3 linked regions of the Ovis aries genome follow. The protein of the gene in region 3 interacts with the protein of the main gene of each other region in a pairwise test. Links are inferred from orthologs where the notes say so. Each region holds a gene or a part of one and is shown on either strand. Other genes may lie near its edges. The genes, in order: PIN1, PBLD and CCDC184.

Region 1 (7,139 bases), on a different chromosome or scaffold from region 3:
TCCATGGGGATTCTCCAGGCAAGAATACTGGAATGGGTTGCCATGCCCTCTGCCAGGGGATCTTCCCAACCCAGGGATCAAACCCAGGTCTCCCGCGTTGCAGGTGGATTCTTTACCATTTCAGCTACCAGGGAAGTCCAAACCTCAATAAATCATGAGAAAATATTGGACAGACATCATCATGTCCAAACATCAGAATGAAAGCCATTGTACTTTTCAAAAGTATCGAGATCATGAAAGACAAGGAAAGACCTAGAAATGGTCACATCCTGGAGGAGGATATTACTAGAGAAACAGGAAATTCTTTTATTTAAAATATAGTTTAGTTAATTGTATTGGACCAATATTGATTTCTTAGTTTTCGTCATCATTCTGTGGCAGAAATTCTCAGTTTTGGCACTGTTAACATTTGGGGGAATAATTCTTTGTTGTGGAGGCTGTACATTGCAGGATGTTCAGTAACATCCTCAGCCTCCACCCACTAAATGCAAGTAGCATCTCTCTCCTTTTGTGACAACCAAAAATGTCTTAAACTTGCCATATGTCCCCTGGGGAACAATATCACCCCTGGTTGACAACCTCTATTCTGTTATGTAAGATGCTAATATAAGGCATGGTTGGGTAAAGGACTTTGAGAACTATACTACTTTTGCAGTCCAGCCCTAAATCTAAAATTATCTTTAAAAAAAGATTATGATTATTATTATGCTAATACATGCTTGTTTAAAAAGTCAGAATGTTATAACTTAAGTTCCTCATTTCTTCCTTCACCTGCATCACCAACCAGTATTAGTTATTAACATATTTGGATAAATCCAGAAATTTTCAGTGATATACAACTATTTTTATACAGTTTGAGTTAATTATAATACTCTGATAATATACAAAGTTAATTTTTGTTGATCTTTTTGGTTTTATTATGCTTTCTTTTTTTTAATATATATTTGTTTGGCTGCACTGGGTCTTTGTTGTTGTATGTAGGATCTAGTTCCCTGACCAGGGATTGAACCTAGGCCTCCTACTTAGGGAGTACAAAGGCTTAGCCACTGGACCACCAGGGAAGTCTCTTATTATGCTTTCATACATACTATAATTGCTATGCTGTACTATGTTTTGGTTTTTTTTTTTTTTTTCACCCAGCAATACCTACCCTTGCTATGGACCAGACACTGTTTTTGAATGCTTTCTATAGATGAACTCATTTAATCTTTGCATCAAGGATATTCATGAGACATGTTTTTTCCTCTCATTTTGCAGATGGAGAAGCTGAAGTACAGAGGTTAAGTAATTTGTTAAGGTCACAGCAAGTGGTAGAGCCAGGCTTTGAACTCAAAGCAATCTGGTTCCTGAGTGCTTTTAACTCTCAGCTGCATCCTGCCTCTAATTTGTCCTAGACATGTTTCCCTGTGTTTCATGTCACTGTGCCTCATTCTTTTTAACAGTTACATAAGGTTGTATGCTATATTGTTCAGTTGTTAAGTCGTGTCCGACTCTTTGCAATCCCATGGACTGCAGCACACCAGGGTTCCCTGTCCTTCACCATCTCCTGGAGTTTGTTTAAACTCATGTCCATGGAGCCAGTGATGCCATCCCACCATCTCATCTTCTGTCACCTTCTTCTTCTGCCCTCAATCTTTCCCACCATCAGGGTCTTTCCCAATGAGTTGGCTCTTCACATCAGGTGGTCAAAGTGATGGCATCAGGTGGAACTTCACTTCAGCATCAGTCCTTCCAGTGAATATTCAGGACTGATTTCCTTTAGGATGGACTGGTTGGATCTCCTTGCAATCCAAGGGACTCTTGAGTCTTCCCCAGAACCACAATTCAAAAGCATCAGTTCTTTGGCGCTCAGCCTTCCTTATTGTCCAACTCTCAACGTCCATACATGACTACTGGAGAAACTGTAGCTTTGACTATACAGACCTTTGTCGGCTTAGTGATGTCTCTGCTTTTTAATACCCTGTCTAGGTTTGTCATAGCTTTCCTTTCAAGGAGCAAGTGTCTTAATTTCATCACTGCACTCACCATCCACAGTGATTTTGGAGCCCTGGAAAATAAAATCTGTCACCGTTTCCACTTTCCCCTTATCTATTTGCCATGAAGTGATGGGGCCAGATGCCATGATCTTAGTTTTTTTAATGTTGCATTTTAAACTAGCTTTTTCACTCTCCTCCTCCTATAGATGAACTTTAGTTGAACTCTTCCCTGTTGGTGTCCCGATTCCCACGTAAATCTACAGCCCTAGGTCTCCAACCACCTCTTCAATGTCCGTTTAGTGCCACAGCCTTCATTTTAAATTGACTTATTCAACTGATATTTCAATAAAAAATAAATTTTAAAAGCAACTTGATTCAAACTGAGCTATTATCCTCCCACCCGCGCTTCCACCCACTGATTTCCACCCACAAAGCCACCGTGTCCTCATCCGAATGGCAATGCCAACACCCACGAGTCACCCAGGACAGAGGCAGAAGCCAAACTGGGAGGGAATTAGTAAAGTAAAGTAGATTTCAAAGGAAATGGAAGGTGTTTGGGTCAGTAAAATAGGGAGTTTTGCACAAAAAATTAAAAGGAGGTGGGCTAGCTTTGGACATCTTGGGCAAACAAGTGGGACGAGGGAGAACGGAGGAGCCAAATATAGGCTTCTGGATTCTTAGCTGTTCATCACCAAGGTAACTGCGTTGCTATGGCAACAGCAAAGGCAGCACCGCCTTTTTCAAGAACTTCCTTCGCTGCGGTTACCTCCACACAGGCCAGACACTTCCGCCTGGGAGGCTTCAGCCCGCGGGCTATGGTTTAGGAAGGCGGGAATTGCTACAGTAGTAGCCAATCGGATGGGCTCTGTGGCGAAGGACGCAAAGGAGGGGTCGGAACTTTTGGAAGCTCAGCAGAGGGCGTTGATAAGGCGAGTTCGCGTCCCTTTCCCACCATTTAGCGGCCGAGGAAAGGAAGAGGGCGGGACCTGGGTGAGGCCGACCGGGGCGGGGCCCAGATTAATGGTGGGAGGCTCCGCCCACCCCCGCCTTTGCTCAATAGGAAGCCAGAGAGTCAGTCCGGACAGTTAGGGTGCCCAATGAGTGCTGTCGCCAAGACCCCGTGCGGGGCGGGCTCAGCCAATCGGCAGCAGCGATGGGCGGACGCGGGCGGCAGAGGCGGTGCGGCGGAGGCGGAGCGGCCTCTGCGGCAGGAGGGAAGATGGCGGACGAGGAGAAGCTGCCGCCCGGCTGGGAGAAGCGTATGAGCCGCAGCTCAGGTGCCGCGGGGGTCGGGGCTGGGACGGGGCCGCGAGGGCCCGCAGAAGCAGGGCTCGAGCTTGTCCCTCGAGCGCGGCAGCGCCGCTCGGTTCCCGTGGGGTCCTGGCTCCTCCGCGTCGTCCCCGGGTAACGGCCCCGGCCCACCCTGTTGGGGCTGCGAGCCTGAGGAGAGGGGAATCCCGAGGAAACTGAGGCAAGGGGCGTGGCCGGGGAGTTCCAGGGTGCTCCCGGGGTGGCAGGGGGATGGTGATCCCGCGGCACTCCCTCAGGCGATGGCCCTGGCCCTGCCGATCTGACTGACATTTTCGTTCGGCCTAATGCACCAGAAGTCCTGAGGGAACGTCTGTGCAACCCGCTGGTCCCAGGGTGGGGACCCCTTGGGGAGGACACCCCAACATCATGCTCAGGGCGGGGCCCTATAGGGTGTTGTTCGGCCTCGGATATACAACCTCCTTCTGCTAATACGCTCGCTACCATCCACACCATATTCTGAGTTTGCGATATCCGGCCGGTGGTATTCTGCCTGAGAACTGCCCTTGTGCTCCGGAACCCGACTTAAGACTTTTCCCCAATAATAATGTCAAGAATAGGGAACGTTTATCTCAGGACCAAGCATAGTTCCAAGCATTTTGGGTGTTTGCTTTCTCTAAATGGTCATAATTTTGGGAGAGAGGTAATTGTTACCCCCGTTTTGCAGATCGGGAAACTTGAGGCCAGAAAACGCAAGGAACCCGCCCAAGGTCATTGATTTCAGGGGGTGGGGGTTGGGTTCGGACCCAGTCATTCTGACTCCAGAGCCCCCTACCCTTCTTGCTGCAAACTACCAAGATGCAGGTTCCAGTATTTCACACTTCTTTCTCCATAGAGCCTAGCAGTCATTGTCGCAGTAATAATTTGATTTTTTGAACATCAGGAGCACTTTGCATACAGCACCATCCACTCTCCACATTAACCCTCTGGAGGTTTGATGTCCTTATTCTCTCATCCCCACTTTTCAAATGAGAAAACTGAGGTTCAGGGAGATGGAACCCATTGCCAGTGTTTTTGAGGCAGTCAGTGGCTCAGCTCTCACCAACCCCCACCCCACCCTGCAGCCTTGACCCATGGATGTGACCTACAATGTAAAGCCAATGCTCTGCCAAATTTGGGGCTCCCACTCCAGCCATTTCAACCCAGTTCAATCCTGACAGTGTTCCCTGAGGGTGACATCCAGCCCTTCACGGTGTTTGGACAAGTCCTCCGTGTAACCCCGGGCAGACTCTGCTCCAGGAATGACACCCTATCTCTACTGGGTCCTACTTCAAGCTTCTTGTTGGCAGCCCTCACTCCATGCTCTTTAGTCTGGATAACATCTGACCCCAGTAATGCTGGACCCCAGTTCTGTAACTGGGTAGGGGAAAAGGACAAAGCTTTTGTGTGTGACACACATGGGTACAGTTTATGCAGCAGAATAAACACCCATTGCTTTGTTTTGGAGGCACTAGTAGCTGACCAGATGCCTCACAGTAACATGTGCATGCTCAAGTCGTGTCCTACTCTTTGTGACCCCATGGACTATCCCACCAGGCTCCTCTGTCCATGGGATTTCCCAGGCAAGAATACTGGAGTGAGTTGCCATTTCCTCTTCCAGAGTATCATCAAACCCAAGATTTTTTTGCTTCCTGCATTAGCAGGCAGATTCTTTACCTCTGTGCCACCTGGGAAGCCCACGGTTTGACCAGAGATGTATTAGTATGTTTTTTGTTACCCAAATGTTACTGACTGGAGTGTCTCAACATTCATTTATAATCGCCAGCCACAGGCGTTAGTTTTTGCAAAAATCCCCCAGTCGATAATGTGTTAATATATGTCAAGTGCTGTCCTAAACTCGTTACAGATGTGAACTCATACAGTCCTTCCAAAAACCATTCAGGCAAGTACTGTTGTTATTTCCATTTTACAAGTGAGAAAACTGAGGCCCGGAGAAGGGAGTCATACAGGGAGTGAGTGGCAGATTTGAACAGGGAGTCTGGCTGCTGAGTGCATGCTTTGAACCTCTCTTCCTCATCTTGGATTATTTTCCCCCCTTGAAGTTGTTAATGACCAAAGTTATTATGTGGTCGTACTTGCTTGTTTATTGTCTGTCTGCCTCCCACCTAGAGGGTTAGCTCCCTAAGTCCTGGTGACACTGGTGGACAGCAGTGGGCTGGCTGAATGAAGGCATCTTGTTGGCCAGTTCCATATCATGGCTTGATGGTGGTATGCACTGAGCAGGTCCCAGCTGAATTCTGTACCCCACCCCCCCTTCTAGGCCGGGTGTACTACTTCAATCACATCACTAATGCCAGCCAGTGGGAGCGGCCAAGTGGCAACAGCAGTGGCAGCGGCAAAAATGGACAAGGGGAGCCCACCAGGGTCCGCTGCTCACACCTGCTGGTCAAGCACAGCCAGTCACGGCGACCCTCGTCCTGGCGGCAGGAGAAGATCACCCGAACCAAGGAGGAGGCCCTGGAGCTGATCAATGGTGAGCTGGGGTTGGAGACCAGGCCTGGGGGAAGGGGGCAGTCCCTCTCCCCAAGGGCAGTGCAAGCTTTACAGAAATCACATGAGATGCTCCACCCCAGCCAGCTTAGCTGTCAGCTGTGGCCTTGGCCGACCTATAAGTGCCTGTTGGTGGCATGAGCCTGGCTTCCATGGCTGCCTCTCATTTTCCTCCCCAGCTGGTGTGTGAGAGTGGGCCAAGGTTGGTGGAGAGGACCCAGCCTTATGGCAGCCAGACCTGGGTTCACATGGTCACTATGCCCCTAGGAGCTCCTTGACCCTGAGAGATTCACGTCACTTCCTTGAGACTCGGTTTTCACCTCTGTCAAATGGACGTCGTCATCTCCTTGCCTTCATGGGCCATTGTGAAAGCTCAGTGAGATGAAATGGTGTAATGGGTGGCACACAGTTGTCACTGTGTGGGTCGTCATTCAGTGGGAGCTATCCTGGAGAGTAGTGTCATCAAGCAGGGTCCTGGGGCACGTATGTGGATGGGTCAGGAGGGAGGTTGGAAAGGTAGCAGTGTTAGAACTAGACAACAGAGTCAGTGAATTAATTTGGCTCTGAGCAGGCTGTTCGTCGCTAAGTTCTGTGTTTGCTCCGCAGTCTAGAGCAGCAGTTGGTAGGCAGACTTTTTCTTGAAAGGCCAGATGGTAAATAGTTTAGGTTTTGTGGGCTGTACAGTCTCTGTCAGTTCTGCTTGGCAACTCCATAGCAGCTGCAGGTGATGTGTAAACAAATGGGCGTGGTCATGTGTCAATAAAACTTTATTTACAGAAACAGCAGGATTTGACCCCAGGGCTGTAGTCCTCAGCCTCCTGGTCTAGAGCTATCTAGTGTGGCCGCTTCTATCTACATGTGGTTATTTTCATGTAAATTAGTTCAGTTTAAGTCATATTAAAGATTGGTTCCTCAGTCACACCAGCTACACTGTTCAGTAGTCCCACTTGGTTATAGGCTGCCATTTTGGACAGCACAACTGGAGAATATTTCCATCCTTGCAGGAAGTTCTGTTGGACAGTGCTGGTCTGGATCACAAGTGTGGTTTCATCATCCACGCAGCCTCTCTCACCAGAGATCCCAGACACCTCCCAGGCCCTCCAACCCCACAGAACCAGTGCCTCACCCCTGCCCAAACAGCCTGAGTGCCTATCCAGTTCTACCAGGTCCTGGCTGTGTGACCTTGAGCAAGCTACTTAACATCTCAGCCTCAGTCTTTTAACTTACAAAGTTAGTGTTAAGATAATAGGACCCACCACATAGGGTGAAGAAAAAAAATTGTTAGTCGCTCAGTTGTGTCCGACTCTTTGTGACCCCGTGGTCTGTAGCCCACCAGGCTCCTCTGTCCATGGATTTCTCCAGGCA
Region 2 (5,907 bases), on a different chromosome or scaffold from region 3:
AGGCACTACCCACAGCAGCGTCTTGGCCATGGAACCTAGAGCTTCTCAGCCCCTAAAGAAGATTAGAGAACTTAAAACCACCTAGTGACAATCAGACAACTACCACGTAACTCTAGTCTGTTCTGGCGGCAGCTAGTTGTGGTGCCTAAGGATGACTTGGAGGTGTTTTTGTCCCCTCACAACCTCCCTCAGCACTGCAAACCAATAAACAAACAAACATACTATGTCTCAGGTGTGAGCATGGTTATATGCAGTCTTCGGTAAAGGGTGAACCAGGGTGTCTTTGGACAATGTTACTATGTTCTTGATCTGTAGTGTACAGTCTAAGTGAAAACAGCAAGCTTGCCAAGCAGAGCAGCATTGATACGAGTGCCCTAGTCCCCACTTCCAATCATACTGCTGGCCCCGAGTCCTTCTTGTGTAGAATCATCCAGTTACCACTGTAGCTACAGGAACTCTGCATGTTATTTCATTTAATCCTCTAAGAAGCAGGCATAAAGCCCCCACCTCTACAGATGGTAGACAGTAGTGATTCAGAGCTTTGACTTCAGGGCTCCTCAGTCCTGGGTCAAAGTGTATGTATGTGAGAGAGATATTCTGGGCCTCCCTGAATCTTTTTATCTGTGGGGAAAATACCCAATTGAAGGAGTTGTGTGTCGAGTCTCATAGTGACATGTATGAACAAGGCCTCTCTTTGGCTCTCAGAGGCTAAACTCAACCCCTATTAAGGTCCAAGTGTTCCTGAACACCAGGAAATTGGCCTTCTTTGAGAAATACCTTGAATCCTAAAACTGACCTGAAACTCTTGGGACTGGAGATGTTGGGTGTGCCTGGCACAAAGCAGATGTTTGTGAGAGATCGTTCTCCAAGGACTTGACCCAAGATGCACTTCTGAGGAAGTTTTGGTCTGTCTCCATAGACTGCCATTGGTGACACGCTGGTTCAGGATGTTTGCTATTCCCCAGATACCAAAAAGCTCCTGGTCCGGCTCAGTGATACTTACAACAGGTAAATGAGATTTTTGACTTCGTCAGTACTGTGGGGGAGGGCACCAGATTCATAGCTCTGGCTTGATCTGGCTGTGCCATGTTCAGCTGAACCATGATCTACACAGCCAGAGTGATCTGTTCCTGTGCAGGAAGGTTGTAGTTGCTCTTCCTCACTTACTGCTGAGCCATTGAACAAGCTGTAGCCTGGCCTGCTTTACGGAGTCTGGGGAATGGGTAGTCTGTGGAATGGGTTTGTCCTAATCCATCCTGTTTATGAACAAGGTCATTTCTGGAGAGCCTAACAGTGAACACAGAGAATTTGCTGCAAGTGGAAACCACAGGGAAGGTGAAAGGACTCATTCTCACCCTCAAGGGAGAGCCTGGTGGGCAGACTCAAGCATTTGACTTTTACTCCAGATATTTTGCTCCATGGTACGGTGTGGCTGAAGACCCCGTAACAGGTACTTTTTGCCTTGAATCCTGAGGAAAGCTAAACAGTTGAGGAGGAGGAGAACTGTTTAAGTGCCCTCCACAATGAGCTTTCAGGTTGTTTGGGTTTTGAGTTGCCTTTGTTTCCCTATCTCCCTTCCCCATCCCTTCACTGAAGTCTCTTGTAAAAAACACAGTGTTAATGAGGCAGTATATAGCAAGGTTTAATTTTAGCATCAGACAGGCTGGCTTTGCGTCCTAGCTTCCTAGCTGTTGACCTTGGGTAAATGACTTAACTTTTCACAGCTTTTGTTCCCTCTCTATAAAATATGGATAATACCTTATAGGCTATGTAAACACGATGCATGTTAAACACAGAACATAATGAGCACAGTACATGGTTAGTGCCCAATAGCTGTTAGGTATTTTAATAACTAACAATAAAACTGGCTCCTTGAGCCAACACTTCTAGAGCTACCTGTTGCAAAATCCAGTGGCCAATGTCTACTATATTCCCAAAGTCCTTTGTCCTTTTCATTGGCCAGCCTGTGTGATAATTGACTGATTTGGGTTTTGAAGGACCAAGTCCTGGACTGCAGGTGGGAAACAGGGACAGGAATAGTGTTTTTCTTCCTCCCCTCGTCCTTTGCCAGACCTGCTCACTCAGTGAGTGGAATGGGTTCAGGAACGTAGGAATTTAGGATCTTCCATAAGCCAGAAGCAGAGAGTTGAAATAAAAAGTCGGCAAGAATGTGATGCTTCCTACTTTCATCCTCCTTAATAAAAGTGGGCTGAGCAGTGAAAGGTGTGGAATGCTTTTTGGAGGAAGCTGATGGATAAGAAGTTATGAGTGGATTTACACATGCTTGGCTGCTTCCCAAAGATTTTAATTTTCATGGAGGGAAGGTTTTTTCCCCCCTGGAATCATGCTTTTCTAGAGTGGGAAAGCTCTTTGGACAGTGATGGCCAACAGTCTCGGTTTGCTTGAGACTGAAGGACTTCTCAGAGTAGGGATCTTCAGTGATGAAACCAGGACAGCCTCAGGCATACTGGGATGCCTGGGCACCCTGTCCCATAGTATTTAGTACATTTTTCTGAAGGAGAAACCTTTTTCAAACCATCTTTTCCTCTCCCAAATACTTTCCTATCAGTTGTTACTTAGCAGTTTGTTTCTTCTTTTTAGTATTTATTCTCTGATCTACACCTAGGGCACAATCATGTGAAAAAGTATCTCACTAAAACAAAGCTCTTTTGGCACCAAAAAACTGGGAACGTTGGCTTCATGGAAATTTTGGTCTTTTGTCAGAGTTCCCACCCTTCCTTGCATGTGCGTCTTAGGAGGAAGGATATGTTTTTCCTTGATAGATGTAGACAGATTTATACGAAAGCCTTAATTCTCCTGCCATGGACTGACAAGGAATTGACAAGAATTAAAGCCTGCAGTTTAATTCAGCCTTCAGAAAGTGTAAGATGCAGCAGATATGTCTTTTGAAGAAGCTTATCCATAAATTCTATGTCTTCCTTTCTATTTCCATTCATAATTCCACACTTTGCTGAAGTCATGGCCAACATAATGACTAAGTTGTCTAAGGTTCAGTCAAACTGGATAGTTGATCCTTTATGAATTTAGCAGAGTTGCTCCCGTTTTCTTTGGGATTGTAACATAGCTTTTCACTTCTTTTAAGGGTCTGCACATACTGTTCTCAGTAGCTACTGGTCTGAGCAACTGGGGAAGAAAGACTTGCACGGTAGGACAGTTCTTTTTCAAATTAAAAAAAAAAAACCTGCTAAACTTTAAGCTAGTATTCCTTCTTATATATACTATCCACCTGAAGATGTAATAAAATGTTAACTATCAAAAAAAAAAGTTAACTATTACCCACATGAAAACTAAAGGTTTTGAATTCCTTCACCCTGAATCTTCTGCTCAACATCCTCCACCCCAAACATCTTCCACCTCTGTTTCTCCCAAAGCACAGACACACTTCTAATACAGTTAAGTGCCAAGTAAGTATTTGCTGAATAAAGTTAACTAGCTGTGTAATTTTGGCCCAGAAAGGTTCTTTATAAGGTGATGAGTTGAGATTGGATGATTACCAGGGTCCCATTATGGGATTAAATAAAACAAATTGCCTTGGAACCAAGTCTCCTAGTGATTAATATATTGCTCAGGACAGAGAAATAGATGGTAGCCAGTGGAGGTTACACAGCTAGTACCACATGCAGAACAGGCTACACAATCAAAGTAGAATTTTGACCTTAGTGGACAGAAGTTCTTACTTAGTGGGATGGTTAAGCATCTGTGACCCTGATTTGGGAATAGCAGGGTGGCTGTTCTCTTTCCATTGTGAGCCTAATTATTTCCCTAAACTCAAGAAACCTGAGGCTGTACTTCACGTTTGCTTGACAAGTGTGGTTGCTTGCTATCCACAATGAATAGGGAACTCCTTTTGTCCTTTCCAGACCTCAAAAGACCAAAGACGAAAGATGGGGCCTTCTCTGAAGGGCCCAAGAGCACCCCCTCTTTATCTTTTTAGCTTTTTAGTCCTAGGCTCTATCTTTTCACTTGTGCTTGCTTACTCCTAGACCTAGATGGAGCCAGGGAGGAAGCTACATTTAGGGTGTGTCTGGGGCATTACAGGAAGTAGTAGAGGAAGTAGCTCAGGAAGGGAAGATGTAGAGCTGTGTGCTTTGTGTATCAAATTGCGTTTGTGGCCTCAGTCCTCAGGAGAATCGGGTGGGCTAGGCAATATTATGAACAGATGAAGGAATGCATTCTTTAAAAAATTAGTTAATAAGTTTTTATTGAGAACGTTAATTTATTACATTAAATAAGTTTCTCATGTACATTGTATTTCTGCTTCTATACATCCTACAGTGTGCTCACTATCAAAAATTTATTTTCTATCCTTCACCATGCAGTTGATCTCCTTTATGCATTTTGATCCCTCCCATATCACTCTGCCCCTCCCCTTCTGGTAACCACTCTCTGTTCTCTGTGTCTATGTGTTTGTGTTTGGTTTGTTCATTTATTTTGTTTTCATTTGTTTGAAAGAATGTATTCTTTAAATTGACCTGGGAGGATTGTAGAGCTCGTAATAATCAGTCTTTCACTATGTCTTATTAATTAAAGGGGTGAAAATGATCTTGATTTGTGACTTGTTTTATGTTTTCTTTAGCCTTTCAGTGTTCCAACCGAGGAGGAGAACTGATAATTTCCCTGCGTTCTGATGGACGAGTTGACATCAAGGGAGGCACGGCTCTTGTTTTAGAGGGCACTCTGATGGCCTAGACTGCTTGCACTGCGGTGACACAGTCTTGAATTACTGAGTATTTTCTGCATAAAAAGAAATGTAAGAGACTGCTTTGAATAAGATTGCATTGTAGTTCACTTAATCCTCACCTGAGAAATAGAACAATGAAGACATATTAATGGGGATTTAATAATGCTTCCTGATGAATTAACTAAAGGAGTTTTGGTTCTACCTGTGAACATATTCGAAGTAACCCATATCAAAGAATAATGTTGTCACCTTTAATTGTGACCACCAATCACAGAATGAGGAACACATTTATGAAGAGTAAGATTAAATCATTTAAACTCAGATGTGAGTACCTGATAGACTGTTTTGCAGCCATCAAAAAGACCCAATAGCTATGTGGAAATATAGAAAAATAGTTCGTAGTATAATACTAAGAAAGAAAATTATAGTAGACTATTAAATGTTAGCAATGTTATGCTATGTCTGTGGAGAATAGGAATTTATATGGACAAGAATGGATCATGAAGATAGAAAAGTAAGAGTTTATGTGTGAATGGTAAGGTTGGAGTAATTTTAATGTACCTAAAAAATTATTTCCTTTATTGGAATGTGCTTACGTTTAATACCTAAAAATCAAGACGTGTAGCTAAATAACTAAATGCCCAGAAATTTTTTAAATGAGTGACAATGAGTGATAGAGTGATAATAAAATTAAACATGGAAAGTAATGTGATATCCTGCCTCTTTCCAAGTTCTTTTCAGGGTGGAAATCTCCCTTACTGTCACGCCTATGTATTCTGCAAGTTAGGTGCCCAGCTGGTATCTGAATTCTCACCCTGTGGGTCAGACCTGCTGCTTAGCAATCTGATGTGGTTGGTAAAAAGCAATTTGCTGTCTCCTGTGTGTAAGACACTGGACTAGAAACTGGCAGGGTAGAGAGCTGGGGGGCAGGATGCAAAGGAGATTAGAGGGGGAGCTTGTAGAACTCTCAAGGGACTCTAACTGGGGAGACCAGGCTCATCCTTTCATGAAAAGATAATGAGCACTTGTACTGGTCTGTGATTAGGGTCTGCCATATGCAGACCCTGAGTGCTATGGCGTAGTCAGGGGAGTGTTAAAAAACAGGGTTTCGAAAGATGGGTATGAGCAAAGCTTCAGAGATGAATGAATGTACATGGCCTCTACGTTTTGTCTAGAGTTTCTACATCTTGAAAGTAGTTACATTC
Region 3 (7,139 bases):
TCTTTTGAATGTGGTATCATGCTGAGATGGGCTGCAAGGCAACTCAGCTTCATAAAATTTACATTTGGGGAGCACTGTCTGGGATTGCAGACCTGTGGTGCAGCAGTCAGCTGCTCCTTGACTTTGACCATCATTCTAAATCTGAGTCAAGCTAGCAGCTTCATTACGATTGCTGGATTTATAGTGCAAAAAGTACACAAGTTATATAAAATAAAGAATGGAGATATACAAGATAGCAGATGGAGGAAAATGGCAGAGACTACTAAGAATCACAGGTTTAGTGAGAATTCAAGGCTTGGAACTAGATGTAGCTGATGGGGACTTTTTACCGATGCAGCATGGAGTCTCTTTCCCCCCGCCCCACCATAGTCTGATAAGATTGGGATGAAGAAATAGGAAAGCTAAGCTGATTCCCAGAGGACAAGAAAAAGGCAGGAAGCAGAGAAGAGTACACAAGGGTTATTGTTTTCTTGCTGTGTGTGAATACTCTAGTGATGTGGCCAGAGTACCCATTCAGCTTGGGGATGGACCCACTCAACAAACCCCAGGACCCTGACTTCCAGAGAGCTCAGTTCCGTAACCCAGCCAGCTGACTGAGGCTCTGCTCCACTCTCTGCATCTGCGCCTTGCTTTTCTGAGACTAGACCCTTCTCCTATTTCCCCTTAGGTCAACTCCCCACAGAATTCCTAAAATTATCTGGTTCTGAATCTGAGGCATCAATTGTCTCCTTGTATTTTCAAGTCCTGTGACTAGTCCACACCCCCAGATCCCACCTACCCTTGGCTCTCAAATATCTGACCTGGAACTTGACTGGATCAGCCACACCCTTGATCTCTGCACTGTTTCCCATGTTCTTTCATGCTTCTCCAATAATTTCCCCTCCCTCTAGGCTCAGACCCCCCGAACTCTCAGCAGACCTCATGCCAGCGGCTCTGGGCAGCATGATGTAATCTTATGCTGAAAGCCTTGACATATATGGCATCCTCAACAATAGTGGCAAAGGGCCTTGTATGATGGCATAACCCAGGTCCTACTGTATGGGGACTGTATTTAATGTAAGGTTAAGGCTAATGCGCAAGGCCCTGTATTGGGGACAGGGCTAGTCTTTGTAGGTAGAAAGCAAGGACCTCTCTGAAGAGTGAGGGAGCTAGCAAGGTGAAATCATCCATATGAAGTGCTGGTCAAGAGATGTGAGGCAACAGATCTAGGCAAAAATTTGAAAATCATGCCAGGTTTTTTTTTTTTTTTTTCTGACTATAGCAAAGGCCTCCAGGGAAAGATGAACAGCAGGGTTGGACCCTGGAGAAGGAAATGGCAACCCACTCCAGTATTCTTGCCTGGAGAATCCCATAGACAGAGGAACCTTGCAGGCTACAGTCTATGGGGTTGCAAAGAGTTGGACATGACTGAGCGACTAACACACATTCACAGGGTTGAACCCATAAGCCCTAAAAATATGCTTGCTAGAGTACGATCAGAAACTCATGCTGTGGAAGCTCAGTTGTTGTTTTTGTATGTCTTGTATATTTCTAGCTTTCCTACAGTTCCTTTTTGGTAAAGTCTGTTTTTGGGGATAACAGTGCACTTTGGCTGTGCTTAGGGAAACCAAGGAAAAGCATTTCTGTCTTCTTCTCAGCTTTAAGAATACCCTGAGGGGCACATGGTAGAGGTGGGGATGATAACCAAGGTGAGAGTCATAAGTTTGTGGAATGAAAGAAAGACAGAATGAGCAAGCAAATAAGATTGAATCATAGAAAATACAATATATAGAACATAAATAGGTTTTTAAAATTTGTTCATACATTTGTTTTGGAATATCAAAATTTTAAGGGTTATATAATACTTTATTATACTAACAATGCCTTAAACATTCTACTGTTTAGGATATTTGCCCGCTTCTTCTTATTTGTTAACTTATTTCTATTTTAATAGCAGTAAGACAAGGAATAAGTCGAAAAGTTCTTTAGTGCCAGCAAAGTTTCTCTGGGCCAGCCCCACCCCTCATCAGGAGAGTATGCAACAAGGGAAACCTCAAAGTAACGCATCAGCTATCACTGAACCACCAGTATACAAAACACTCACCCAAAACCAGCTCGTCCCCATCTTGAAGTGTTACATCATTTCTCTTCCCCACATTTATTTCTTCTTGTGAACTTCATTTGTGGTTTCTGATCACTTGGCTTCTCCAATTTATTAAGGTCATTATTAGTATGCTGCTGCCCAGGTACTGTTTGCTTTTCAATCTGAAGTCATCTGTAAATATATTAAATTCAACTTTTCTTCCTCCTCCTCCTTTCCCACTCCACTCCTCAAAAAGAGAAAGGAGTTGTCACAAAGGTTGAAACACTCACTGCATGTCTGTACCTGGACGCTGGGCCTGGGGACAGGGAAATTACCCTTACATAATCCCCCCACACCACCGGGCCTTCCCGCCATCCGTTCCACACGTTGTCGACAGTTTACCCTTTCAACTGGGAGCGGACGCAGTGTTCCTCAGAGTCAGAAATAATATTACCAAATATTATACAGTCCGATCCACTAACAGATGAGAAAAACGATTTATTCAAGGTCTCTGAACTAATAAATGGCCGAAACAAAATTGAATTCAGGCCTCCTAAAAGCCACTACCTGTGAGCTGGAGAGTTCTGGACAAGGGAATGGGACACAGTGGTCCTTGTTAAAGCATTCATTCAACAAATGTACTGAGCATTTACTTACTATGCGCCAGGTTCTATTTTAAGTGCTGGGGATTCCGTGCTGGAGGACACGGAGGAGACAAAAATCTCTATTCTTACGGAGCTTTCTTTCTCAAAACTGAAGCACTTTGCCTCACCGTCCTGAAAGAACCCCCAGTGCCCTGGGTAGGAGCGATTGGGTCTATTATGGGAGGGAATTCCATCTTTTCTCGGCTTCGATACCATCTTATCGACAGCGAGGGCTGATTTACTGCAGAAGCAGAAGGGAGTGACGGAAACCTCCGTAGTGCCCTCTTGCGCATCTGCACCGCGAAGGCCGGGCGGGGCCCGCTCTAGGGCGCCCGCGCATCCCAGCTCAAGTCTGGGTAATAGCATCGGCCTCTCTACCCTCTCTGCTTTCCTGCAGGAGGTTAGAGAAGCAGGACTCGGCTGTAACGCCATTCTCAGAGGAAGGAATGCGGGCAGGTGAAAATCCTTCCAAGGTAGTCTCGCTCGGTGACTACTACCCAGAGTAGAGGAGGGACGATGTCTCCCCGACCTGGGGATTTATGCAGCAAACTGCTCTCTCATGCTTCCCTATTAAACATTGCGGCCACACGTTCTTTCAGCCTCAGCTGAGGCCACTGCAGCGTCCCCTCCCCTCCCGCTCCAACCGCAAGCTCAGAATCCAGAGCCCCACTGCAGCTTCCCAGCTGTCCTCCCTTTTCTGCTCCACTTCCTGGTTGCCATGGAGACACACGTCTTTTACGTGCAGTGCGTCGCCTTGGAAACAGAGGAGCATCCGCGGCGCCGCTGGGAGACCCGCCCCTGTCACTTCCAACCACACTCGCGAGCGCTCCCAGTTAGCGGCCGAGGGGAGTCCCGAGGTCGACCCGCTGCTGGCCTCGGCCTCAACCTGGGCCCCTGTGCGAGCGCTCCTGTGACCCAGGGAACCGGCGGGCACTTGACGCTCTTGGCGCCCAGAGGGAGGCGCTGACACGGGTGCAATTCAGGAGTCGAGGCAGGGCAGGGCGCTTTCGCCCCGGGGCGAGCCGGAGAGACGCCGGCCCTGGGACTGTAGCCCGGTCCTTGTTCCGCCGTCTCTTCCCGGCCTCTCCAGATTCTGCCGGCACCCCCCGCCCGGGACTCACCTCTCCACCCCTGTCTGGAGCCTCCTCTTCCCTCGGCTCCTCCCACCCCCTCCGGGCACCTCTCCCCCTCCCCGTACCTTCCCCCACCCCGAGGCCGGGCTGGACCGGACCCCGAGCCGCCACCGCCCGCTTCTGCCATTCAATGGAGGAAGGTCTGCTGGAGATCATGACCAAGGACGGCGGCGATATGCCGGCCCCTCTCGAGGTGTCCACCGTGCCGGCCGTGGGGGACGTGATCTCCGGGGAGTACAACGGCGGCATGAAGGAACTGATGGAGCACCTGAAGGCCCAGCTGCAGGCCCTGTTTGAGGACGTGAGGGCCATGCGGGGGGCCCTGGACGAGCAGGCCTCGCACATCCAGGTGCTCTCGGACGACGTGTGCGCCAACCAGCGAGCCATCGTCTCCATGTGCCAGATTATGACCACCGCGCCCCGCCAGGGTGGCCTGGGCGTGGTCGGCAGCAAGGGGAACTTCCAGGGCGCTCGCCGAGATCCGGAGACCCCTTCGCCTGGGATCGGGGGCAGCGGTTTGCTGGGTCGCGATCCAGAGGACGAGGAGGACGACGATGAAGAAGAAAAGGAGATGCCCAGCTCCGCCACACCCACAAGTCACTGTGAGCGCCCGGAGAGCCCCTGTGCTGGCCTTCTGGGGGGGGACGGGCCACTTGTGGAGCCCCTCGATCTGCCCGACATTACCCTGCTGCAGCTGGAGGGCGAGGCCTCTCTGTGAGGGGACTCCGAGGGGGCACTACTTTCCCGGGCTGACTTTGGGTTTCCGAGTGCATGAGGGGACTGAACGGCGCGATGCAGCGCGTGCTTCACTCCGACCGCTGCTCTTGTGGGTCAGGCAGAAGAGACTTCCTTGAGGAAGCATTTACAGGGTGAAGGACTTTGGGAGCATCAAGAATTCTTTCTGCCTCACCAAGCAAGAAGTAGCAAACTGCGGAAAGGTGAGGTTCCGGGAGAGGAAGCGCCCACCTCTGGACTCCCATCCAATCCCCTACCCTGCCCTTTCCCCCGCCCCAGCCAACAGGAGAACCCCTGACTTGTGTAAATAAAATTCTGCTTTTTCTATTCTGAAAAAGGACTTATCTAGGACTATGGCAAAAAATCTCTAACGATTTACCTAGAAATTAAGGAATTGAGGGTATTCTGTTCTGGCAACAGAAAATTTACCCTTCTGATGAAATCCAAGCTATTCAGCGTTCTGCAGAAGCCTCTCCCCCTCACAGACCTCTGCGGCTGCTGATTGGTAAAAGAAGCTTGAGGAGGGAACTGCAGCCCTAGGAATCTGGGTGAATGGGGTTCCGAGGGCCCCTGGGCTGGGAGGAGCTGGCTCTGAATGTGCATGAAGACATTATAGCTCAACCTCTAGGATTTTGCATGCAGAGCGGATCTGCCTTGTCACTGACTTCATCTGGGATTGCTTTATCCACTCACTGGGGCTTAGAGAACAAAGAGCCCAGTTCACAGGCAGAGACTTGGGGGTGGTGCTCAGCAACAGCCCAGATTTAGGGGACATTTGAGGGACTCTTGGGGGCCACAGCCGAAAACTGTCTCTCTGCTGGCTATACCTGCTTAACTTCAGTTCCTTTTCCTGTCAATACTTCCCTGCCCGCTGACTCTCGGTGTTGCCTCCATAATGTCTTGTGTGCATTATGTGTGTTGACCTGTGTAGTAGTGTGTGAGCCCTGAGGGGCAGGGCTTGTGGCTCTGGTGTTAGGTTCAGGGGGCTTCAGACCTTCTGTGAGCCCCAGGCTCTCATGATGCTTTCCCCTCTCCTCTCTTTTCCCCCACAACCAGGGCATGAAGCATGTGGCTGTCCTGAGGTTCCTAACTGATATGCCTCCCTCCCACCTCCTCAAGTGGTGACTTTGTGTGCCCTTCCTCTTCCTCTGTGTATTCCTTCTCAATGCTTTCCTTGGTGTTAACCTTAATAAAGAGGCGTCATCTCCCCTCCTTGCTGACTGGTACTAGGGCAATGGCAGGGTGGGGCTTCTGGACCCACTGCATGGACACAGGCTTAGTGGGAACTACAGGGACCATGCCTTCCCTCCTCTCTTCTTGCCTCTGGTTCCAAGGAGTTGATTGTCCCTGCCCTGACTGGGGTATGCATTGCCATTTTTACCTGCTGTCACTTCCGCCCTGGACCTTGACCTCAAGCTGGACTGAGGAAGGAGAGGGTACATGTTGCGATTCCCAAACAAGGGTTTTTTAGTAGCCAGAACTCCAGATGTGCAGGAGACTTTTCAGTGGAGCACCTGGTTCGCAGGAGATGATTTCCAAAGTGGAGTCCTGAAATGGTAGGCAAGACACCTGTTTCATGGGAGGGGTAGGGAGGGGGCATTGTTCAGGAGGGATTGCCTGGGATCTCTGGCAGAGTGACACATCACAAAGGGAACCACAAAAACTGCCTCAGGCCTCTAGTGGAGAACTCCGGTAAGGTGTCCCCCCGGGAGCTTAGCCTGACATCAGCTCTAGTCTGCTCCCTTGGGCACTGGAGACTTCCTAAGGCTGCTTCAAACAAAATTTGGGAGAATAATGAGCTGGGGTGCTGTGTGTGTGTGTGTGTGTGTGTGTGTGTGTGTGTGTGTGTGTGTGTGTATGCTTGTACCTACAAATGTGTGTATGTATGCATGTAGATATGTGTATATATGTATGTGTGTTTCTGCAGCTGGTTGCTACAGAGATGTGGAAAGGGCACTGGCAATGAATCTCAGATCCAACAGTAAATGACTGCTTGAGACTTGGTTCCTTGCTTGAGACTCAGTTTCTGTCTGTGTAAAATGGGGACAAAAATTTTTGAGAAAGATAATAAGACATCTGAGAAATCTTATGCAAATGTTAGTTTTCTTATAGCTCTCTTGGGGTAGGGGGTGATGGTGTTGACTGGCTCCTCTGGGAAAACACAGTTATTTAGGGAAGGTTCTAGTTTAATATAATCCTTCCCTACCTAAAGAATTCTTATCATTCAGGGCAGTCAAGGGGATGATGAGATTCCCAAGCTTACATGGCCTTTCTTCATAAATATCCTGTAATTATGGGTCAAAAAGGTCTTAAAGCCAGCTTTTGTACACATAGGATGACCAGAGGATGGCTTGAGTTGTGCAGTGGTTAGGGAATATGTGCTGGGGCTTAGAGAGGGCAGCTAAAATATATTAGTGAGGAAGTGTCCCTGAGGGCTGGAAGATAGTTTTCTGTTACAGTTCCAGCATTCAGCACCAAAAACAATGATAGCCATCATATATTGAACACTTACTCTGTGCCAGACATTGTGCCCAATTTTATATCCCAATGACCATATGAAGTAGG

What was found.
Region 1: the proteins of CCDC184 (region 3) and PIN1 interact in binary tests that used the Homo sapiens proteins (3 or more experiments, as listed by UniProt). The two-hybrid records come from large-scale screens. The link is inferred for Ovis aries from reciprocal best matches to the Homo sapiens genes CCDC184 and PIN1.
Region 2: the proteins of CCDC184 (region 3) and PBLD interact in binary tests that used the Homo sapiens proteins (3 or more experiments, as listed by UniProt). The two-hybrid records come from large-scale screens. The link is inferred for Ovis aries from reciprocal best matches to the Homo sapiens genes CCDC184 and PBLD.

The regions. Positions count from the first base shown.
Region 1 is NC_056058.1:12,282,714-12,289,852, forward strand, and holds the start of PIN1 (peptidyl-prolyl cis-trans isomerase NIMA-interacting 1), read left to right. Parts: upstream 1-3,170; 5' UTR 3,171-3,195; coding exon 3,196-3,253; intron 3,254-5,544; coding exon 5,545-5,757; intron 5,758-7,139. UniProt on the Homo sapiens protein: Peptidyl-prolyl cis/trans isomerase (PPIase) that binds to and isomerizes specific phosphorylated Ser/Thr-Pro (pSer/Thr-Pro) motifs.
Region 2 is NC_056078.1:23,943,820-23,949,726, reverse strand, and holds the end of PBLD (phenazine biosynthesis-like domain-containing protein), read left to right. Parts: intron 1-919; coding exon 920-1,008; intron 1,009-1,271; coding exon 1,272-1,450; intron 1,451-3,103; coding exon 3,104-3,166; intron 3,167-4,597; coding exon 4,598-4,710; 3' UTR 4,711-5,414; downstream 5,415-5,907.
Region 3 is NC_056056.1:138,404,513-138,411,651, reverse strand, and holds CCDC184 (coiled-coil domain-containing protein 184), read left to right. Parts: upstream 1-3,506; 5' UTR 3,507-3,969; coding exon 3,970-4,557; 3' UTR 4,558-5,786; downstream 5,787-7,139.